Linked DNA regions of Daphnia pulex. The protein of the gene in region 2 purifies or fractionates together with the protein of the main gene of each other region. This does not show direct contact. Links are inferred from orthologs where the notes say so. Each region holds a gene or a part of one and is shown on either strand. Other genes may lie near its edges.

What was found.
Region 1: the proteins of serine/threonine-protein kinase prp4-like (region 2) and U4/U6.U5 tri-snRNP-associated protein 2-like purify together in Homo sapiens (affinity purification with mass spectrometry; 3 studies listed by BioGRID and IntAct, with this or other methods). This does not show direct contact. The link is inferred for Daphnia pulex from reciprocal best matches to the Homo sapiens genes PRP4K and USP39.

What each region holds. Positions count from the first base shown.
Region 1 is NC_060025.1:1,779,025-1,783,171, forward strand, and holds U4/U6.U5 tri-snRNP-associated protein 2-like, read left to right. Parts: upstream 1-1,453; 5' UTR 1,454-1,584; coding exon 1,585-1,660; intron 1,661-1,740; coding exon 1,741-1,887; intron 1,888-1,947; coding exon 1,948-2,237; intron 2,238-2,294; coding exon 2,295-2,520; intron 2,521-2,588; coding exon 2,589-2,875; intron 2,876-2,943; coding exon 2,944-3,134; intron 3,135-3,194; coding exon 3,195-3,330; intron 3,331-3,394; coding exon 3,395-3,481; intron 3,482-3,542; coding exon 3,543-3,590; 3' UTR 3,591-3,647; downstream 3,648-4,147. Other genes in the region: uncharacterized protein LOC124202306, read right to left, coding at 4-151, 222-301, 376-506, 597-648.
Region 2 is NC_060020.1:7,005,439-7,009,494, reverse strand, and holds the start of serine/threonine-protein kinase prp4-like, read right to left. Parts: upstream 2,801-4,056; 5' UTR 2,645-2,800; coding exon 2,640-2,644; intron 2,578-2,639; coding exon 2,437-2,577; intron 2,307-2,436; coding exon 2,078-2,306; intron 2,019-2,077; coding exon 1,288-2,018; intron 1,213-1,287; coding exon 1,125-1,212; intron 1,049-1,124; coding exon 719-1,048; intron 376-718; coding exon 140-375; intron 1-139. Other genes in the region: regulation of nuclear pre-mRNA domain-containing protein 1B-like, read left to right, coding at 3,146-3,296, 3,357-3,596, 3,653-4,024. UniProt on the Homo sapiens protein: Serine/threonine kinase involved in spliceosomal assembly as well as mitosis and signaling regulation. Connects chromatin mediated regulation of transcription and pre-mRNA splicing.

The DNA.
Region 1 (4,147 bases), on a different chromosome or scaffold from region 2:
TACATTGTTGATGCCGCAATCAGATTCAAAGAAAATGACAGTGTCAGTGTTGCTAAGAGTAGCGTCCCCAACACGGTGAATTGTTTCCAAACCAGTAGCCAAGCCATCGTGCAAAAAGACACCGCCATTTACGCCGGGGTAAGCATCCCATCTATTTAGGAAATTTCAGAAAATTCATATTTACTAAAAATAAAGTTGATTGTCAATTTTTCCCGTCATACGTAAAGCTAAAATCGCCATCTGGAAGCTGAATACGGTCGTATCCTAGCAGGACTATCTGCTCGCGAACTAAAGCCAAAACCTAAAATATAAAATGTTTTTAAAAAGACAAAATTCAGTAAATCAAAGAACGAAATTGAATTATATTACAAATACCTCGTCCATGTATTCATTGGCATTTCCTGCTTCCCCACTTCGAGCACGATTCATCAAATGTTCAGAGGCCGGAAAGGAAAGACGAAGAAGCGGCTCGCCTTTTCCAGAAACGGGGCGTCGAATTCCAGCACCTACCAAAAGTAATGACAAAATTAAAAATTATGGTCGTTAGAAATTTAGAATCAACCCAATCAAGGAACGAGTAACAAATATGAGCAAACCATTGGAAAGGGTAAAAAGGCAGAGCAAAGCGAAAATGCCAACCACTTTCATGACGAACGAACACAATTTCAGTTTAAAGTTAAAGAAAGAAACCGTGTCCTTTTGAGAAACAGAAAATGCAAACTGCACACGACCAATTTATACAAAAATTATTGGTCTATCAATGATTGGGCAATCGATCACTTCTTGATTAGAAAGTGATATAAATGGGTTTTTCAAAGATTATGATTGTGACATCGAACTTGATTTGACTAATCTGATAATCCGTATTGCGTGCTAAAATCAAAGGGCAAACAAAATTACCCAATGATTATATTTTTGTACACCTTCGAAGGACGAACTTATACAAAAAAAAACATTCTATTGAAAATGAATTACGAAATTCTAATTCACCAATTGCTTAGTTGATTTTTAGAAACCCGGAAATTGCTTGTTTCCGGGTTTATGGTTCAAGTAAGCAATTTGTATCCAGGCAGAAAAAATCTACACTATGCTGAACATCATTATCTGAACCATGAATATCGCTTTCAAAATATAGACTTCTGTTGACATAAGTTAATCAAGGTAAACAGAGTTCTGATAATACATCCAAACAAATTCGAGACAAACTCTAAACTTTGAGATGATTACACAACACCCAAGACCCAACAGCGTTACCAGACACAAAATAAGGGTTTTTTAGTTAGTTATCAGGATAGTAATTCAAACGATAAAAAATAGTAGCCCCATCTTGTACAAATAATTATTTACTTGACGCATGACCATGATAATCAAACGAAATTTTGAATCGCGTTACAAGATTTGAATGAAGTAGTTCACGCCATCTACAGGACAATAATTCTACTTTTTCGTTTACCGGCATTAACGCGTTGCATTCGTTTTATGTGTCTGCTATCCTTTCCGTAACTCTGCATTCGAGTTTCCTTAATTCTTAAACAATAAGAAAAGCTGTCAATTTTGGCTCTTGGGGTAAATATCTTTTCAAAAATGGGGACGGAAAAGAGTGATATAAAGCGCAAACATGAAGATTTCGATGATGAAGACGAACCCGTCGTGAAAACAAGTATTGTTGTCACTATCCACAAAACCAAATAATAAATATAGTGCAATCCGTGTAACAACTTTTACTGATAAAAATTCTAGGAGAACCAATTGCCAAATCTCGTTTGTGTCCTTATTTGGACACAATAAACAGGACAGTTTTGGATTTTGATTTTGAAAAACTCTGTTCAGTCTCGCTCACAAGGATTAATGTCTATGCATGTTTGGTGTGTGGGAAATACTTTCAAGGTAAATTTGAAGTTAAACAGCAATATTCACATATTTTAAATTGTTTCAAATGAATTCTAGGAAGAGGCCCCAGCACACATGCATATCTTCACAGTGTGGGAGAGGGACATCATGTTTTTTTGAACCTTCACACCCTAAGATTCTATTGTCTGCCAGACAACTATGAAATCATTGATTCATCACTCGATGATATCAAATATGTCTTGAATCCAACATTCAAAAAAGCAAATATTGCAGTGTTGGATGTCATTGATAAAGTATCTAGGTCTTGTGATGGTACTCTTTACCGTCCTGGAGTAGTTGGACTCAATAACATCAAAGCTAATGATTACTGCAATGTAGTCCTACAGGTAATGAAGTAGTAAACTATAAATTAAAATAATAAACTTTACTTACTTTTGTATTAGGCTTTATCTCATGTTGTTCCACTACGCGATTACTTTCTCAGGGAAGAGAACTACATTGGTATCAAGCGTCCTCCTGGAGACAATAACGTCATCTTAGTTCAGCGTTTTGGTGAATTGATTCGTAAGCTTTGGAATCCACGCAACTTTAAGGCTCACGTTTCCCCCCACGAGATGCTCCAGGCTGTCGTTCTGTGCAGTAAAAAGAAATTCCAAATTACAAGCCAGGGTAATATTAAATTATGAGAATTGTTATTAAAATTTTACCTTGCTAATTCTTCATTTTCCATATTTCAGGTGATCCAGTGGAATTTCTTTCGTGGTTTTTAAACGCGTTGCATCTGGCATTAAACGGTACCAAGAAGCCAACTTCTTCAATCATCTACAAATCTTTTTTGGGAGCAATGAAAATTCATTCTCAGCGAATCCCACCCATCGATGCCACTGATACAGAAAAGGATGCACTGATGTTGACTGCCGAATACGTCGAAACATTTGTCGATTCGCCTTTCCTTTTTCTGGCAGCCGACTTGCCTCCCCCTCCTCTGTTCAAAGATGAATTTCGCGAAAACATCATTCCACAGGTTTGCCAAAATCAATTAGCTTGTAGCATTAATTAAAAGCTAGATCGAGTCTTTTGTTGATTTTTCAGGTATCTCTGTTTGCATTGCTGTCTCAATTCAATGGAGTCCAGCAAAAGGAATACAAGACCTACAAGGAAAATTTTTTGAAGAGATTCGAATTGACAAAACTGCCACGTTACATTATTCTCAACATCAAGAGATTCACGAAGAACACGTTTTTCATAGAAAAGAATCCCACCATCATAAACTTCCCCATCAGGTAAATAAAATTACCACACCATTTTTTGTTGACTGTTACAAAATTGAGATGTGCTTTTAGGGGTGTGGATTTTGGCGATATTCTAGGTGCAGATGTTCGCGCCAAACACGGATGTACCACATACGATCTGTTAGCCAATATTGTACATGATGGAGAACCAACCAAGGGAACTTATCGTGTTCACATACTTCATAAGGTAAATTCGTTTTATTGTTGACCAATAATCACAATAAACTTCACGAGTCAATTGCTTCTATTAGGCGACAGGAAAATGGTTTGAAATGCAAGATCTGCACGTGACAGAAATTCTTCCGCAGATGATCACTCTCACAGAAGCTTACATTCAGGTAGAAAAAAAAATACAATAAAACGTTATTATGTCCCATTTAAAATGTTCAAACATTTTAGATATGGGAACAATCTACGGAAAGAAGCGACGTTGAAATGTCCAACTGAAATTTCTGTCAAAAGTGTAAAACCCGAGTTGAAATAAATATTCAAATTCGTACTAAAGCATTAATGTGAGACTTCTTATTGGATTGAATAAAATTAACACACCACGTCGCGAGGAAAACGAACCATGTTTGATTACACAAGATGCAATAATACACAACTTATTTCGTTTTTTTTTGTTTCATTTATCTTGCTCCAAACGATGTTGTGTGGCAAAACAGGGAAAAAGGAGTGATTTGTTTAATTAAGAGAGAAGAAGTGGGTTTGAGAATGCAGAGCAAAATAAAGAAATCTTGAAACAAACACGTAAGAGACAACCCCCAAAGAGGACAGAAGGGATGAAAAAATAAAGGGTCGTAGTGAAAAATTAGATTCACACCGCGCAATCAAATTGTCCTTCATGAATTCCGCTCGTTTGCTACTCTTTTTCCCTTACATACACTCGCACAAAGTTTCTTCAAAAATCAGACCAGCATTCGATCGAATTCAAATAGCTTATTTTTTTGCGGTGAGCAGCGGTGGGGTGATTTTTATTTTATGCTACAAAAAATTGGAAAACG
Region 2 (4,056 bases):
CTGCCCGATCGGTTCATCCACTGTAAATCAAGAACAGCTATAAAGGCGAACTGATAAGCATGCATAAAACTCAATGAAAACTATGTGCATTGACAACTGGATACTTCCTTGGGAATATACGCAACTGATGAACACTCACATGATCTCATTGTTGCGAATAATCTTGATTGCCACTTCTTGGCCAGCTCGAAGTTGATCTCTTGCACGAATTACATTCGAAAATACACCTTGGCCCGTGTAACCATATACAGAGTATCGCCCATCCAAAGTCTCTCCTATGCAAACTCTGTAATAACCTTCGGCGTCGTCCCAGTTGTCAGTTAGATTAGGGTTGTCTGACACGCGTTTCATTTGTTCCATAGCGGTAGCAGGACTCTGTTAAATGTACATAGAAAATGGTTTCCAACTGCTATTAAAATTGTTCAAACATGACTTCGAATGACAAATGGTGCATCAGTGTGCTCATACAAGAGGAAGCTAAGATGCCGAAGTGTTGCTTTCAACGACGTCGCCAAAGGAGCAGTCGGACACGGCTTCTTCTATTGATCTACGATAATCTCAATGCCATCAGCTTAAACATTTTTCTAACAAAATAGTAGGCTCATAAAATAAATTACGAAGATACGCAAGTAATATTCGGCACTAACTGAAATTACTTGTGAGTAGACTGGATTGAATATGGGCACACTAGAAAAAAAATAATGAAATAGAAACTCACACTGTACTCTTCCGCAAACATATCAGCTTCCGGAGCGAACATGTCTCTCTTTTTAGCACGCTTCTCTTCCTCAAGCTTCGCTTCCCTGGTATCCGTTTGACTGTCAGTTTTTCCAGATGGTTCACCAGTGATAGAATCTTTCTGCCTATCCACATCACTAAAGCTGCTTTTTGTCACGATGATAGGAGAATCAAACGACATGTTAGGAGTGCTCATCATAGAATCTTCTCCGCCTTCGTTTAGCACTTCTTTGAAAGGTGACGATGTTCCAGATACGTAGCCCTCTACATTCCAAGACTGGCTGGAGTCTTCTGAAGGAGCTCCCAGTTTCTGTGATAAATGTAGGTAGAAAAAAATGTTAACTGCCAATAGGTGCTTTGTTTAAAATATTCAGAATTTGCATTACCTTAAGCAACTCCTCCCTCTGTTTACGGCGTTGCTCAATAATCTTATCCTCGTCTTCTTCTTCATCCTCAAATTCAATATCCAGTGGACTAATAAATACGCAACAGAAATTAGGAACAATTAACAGCTGAAAAATCTACATAAACGCTAATCAAATTTCTTACACATCTTCCGATGATGACTCGTTTGGCTTGCTAGATTCTCCATTCTTCGTAGAACGCCTTTGATCTTCTTTACCTGGCCGATCTCTGTGATCATCTCTTCTCGGCCTATCTCTGTTCCAGTCTCTATTACGATCTCTTTCACGATCTTGTTCATTTTCTCTAGTTTGGCGATCTCGTCTGTCTGGTTCACGACCTCTGTCACGATCACGCATTCTTCGATCTCGGTCTTCTCTCTCGCGCTTCGACCGCATATCTCTGTCTCTTCTATCTCGTCTCTCTTTAGATCGGTCTCTTCTTTCGCGCTCGACTCTTTCCCTTCTTTCTCTTTCCTCTCGTTCACGTTGATCTTTCCTTTCTCTTTCCTCGCGCTCACGTTGTCGATCTCGCTGTTCTCTCTTTTCTCGTTCTTTTTCTCTTTCTTTCTCCTTTTCTCTATCCCTTTCTCGTCCAGGATCTCTTTCTTTTTCTCGATCTCGTTCTTTTCCTTTTTCTCTTTCACGGTCCCGTCCAGGTTCTCGTTCTTTTTCTCTACTGCGTTCTTGCTCTGACTCCCTTTCTCTTATCCGTTCTTTATCCCGAATTAAGCGAGATTCCTTATTTCGCGTTTCGGTTAAAACTTCGATTTCTTTCAATTTGTCTCGTAGTTTTTCAGTAGTTTTTACTTCGATCGTTTTGGTTTCGGTGTCAGAGCAAGAAGAATCGTAAGCACCAAGTCTAGCTTGCAGCAGCTCCTGTAAAAAAAAGTTCAATATTGTTAATGCTTACAAAATAATGTTATGAGATGAAAAACCTTTTGTTTCATCAGTTCTTCCAGATTCAATTCTTCTTCCAAATCTACAAGGGTAATTTCTTGAGATTTTCCATTTTCCACTCCATTTTTCAGAGTTTTCCTTGCTTTTGCAGGTTCAGTTTCCACATCAGATTCTCCCTTTTTTATCTTTTTCTTTTTCTTCCTTTTTTGTTCATCATTTTCAGATTCATCTGAACTTTGATCCCTCTTCTGTTTACGTTTCTTTTTCCTGAAAGGTAGAAAATTGGGATTGCAACATTCATTTCGTCAACACAAAACAATATCATAATTTATGTGATTTGTATATCTATAATACATACACGGGAAAAGTTTGAATTTTTTGAAACTTGGAAACTTACTTTGGCTTTTCATCTTTTTTCTTGTGTTTGTGAGTCTTCTTTAATTTAGTTTTTTTGTGCTTGCTTTTGGTTTCGTCTTCTTCTTTTCCTTCATTTTCATTCTTGGCTACCAGCATGTCGACGTCGCTCAACTCCGGTGTGCTTAAAAAGAATTCAAACTAATTTAGTTTATGATCATGTGAATATGAATACCATAAGCTTACCTCATATTGCTGTATTTTGGAACTAAAGGAATTGCACGCGTTGATCTAAATAATACACAACAACCTATTGAATACCAACACAGTGATGATTTTGTCGACAAATTTCGACAAATTTTGACAGACTAACAAACTAGCGAACAGCAGGGTTGTCAAACACTTGTAAATTATTTTCCAATTTAAACATAGAAAGCATTTGTTTTAATTTAGTCCTTATATTTCTATTAACTGGGTGATTTTTTATTACATTTTAATTTTAAACATGAAATATAGAATAAAACGAAATAAATTTATGACTGTTGTTCTTTTTTTTTATTATAAACTAAATCAAAATTCGGAAAAAGAGGATGGTTCTCATGAAATACAGACAAAAAATTTCGTGCATTTTTGTCTGCTACTTTACCTAATCGAGATTCTAGAAGAAGAGAAGACTGACTCACAAATCTTAGGGACTGAGTTTGCGGTTAACGTAATAGACGAAACTTAATCTATGGAGATTAATCTACAAAATGTCAGGATTTTCTGATGCCGCACTAGAGAAAAAATTAGCCGAACTAAACAACTCTCAACAAAGTATTCAAACATTGTCTTTGTGGTTAATCCACCACCGTAAACACCATGCTAGTATCGTCAAAATTTGGTTAAAGGAATTCACGAAAGGTAGTAAAAAAATTCCTAAATCCACATTTCCAATTAAATTCCAGCATTTCTATTTCTTAGCCAAGGACAGTCGAAAACTCACTTTCATCTATCTCGTCAACGATGTCATCCAGAACAGCAGAAAGAAAGGTCCAGAATTTAGAGATCACTTTGGTCCAATTCTTGCTCCAGCCCTTAAATTGATGGGTCAAGCTGTCAATGATGAAAACACTCAGAAAAGACTAGAACGAATTCTCAATATTTGGGGAGACAGAAACATGTTTGATTCCAAACAGATTGCTGAATTCAGAAAATCATTAGGTATAAGCTATAGAAATAATTTTCATTACGTAATTTTAAATGATACCTTCATGCAGAATCATGTCTCAAGAGAAGATTTGACAATGGAGAACCCCCTGTCAAAATATCAAGAAGAGATAGGGGTGAGAGCCGCGAAATGTTAGAAAATGTCAAAGAAAACAAAGAGCAAGAAGATCCTGATAAAACTAAGAAAGAACGAAGAAAATCAGAATGTAATGAAGTGATACAGTTTGATAAGGAAGGAAAGAAAGAAGTCCACATAACTTTGTCTCCAAAACTACCTGCTAATGATGCTCCAGAACCTGAAGAACTTGTTAAAGCACTTCAGACCCTTGAAAATGCAGCATCAAGTGATGGTATTGTCAGGAAAAAAATTACTGAATTGCCTCCTGAAGTATCAGATGTCAGTTTGCTTTCAAAAATCTCAGGTAATTCTTCCAAGAAATTTCGTGTGTGGCAA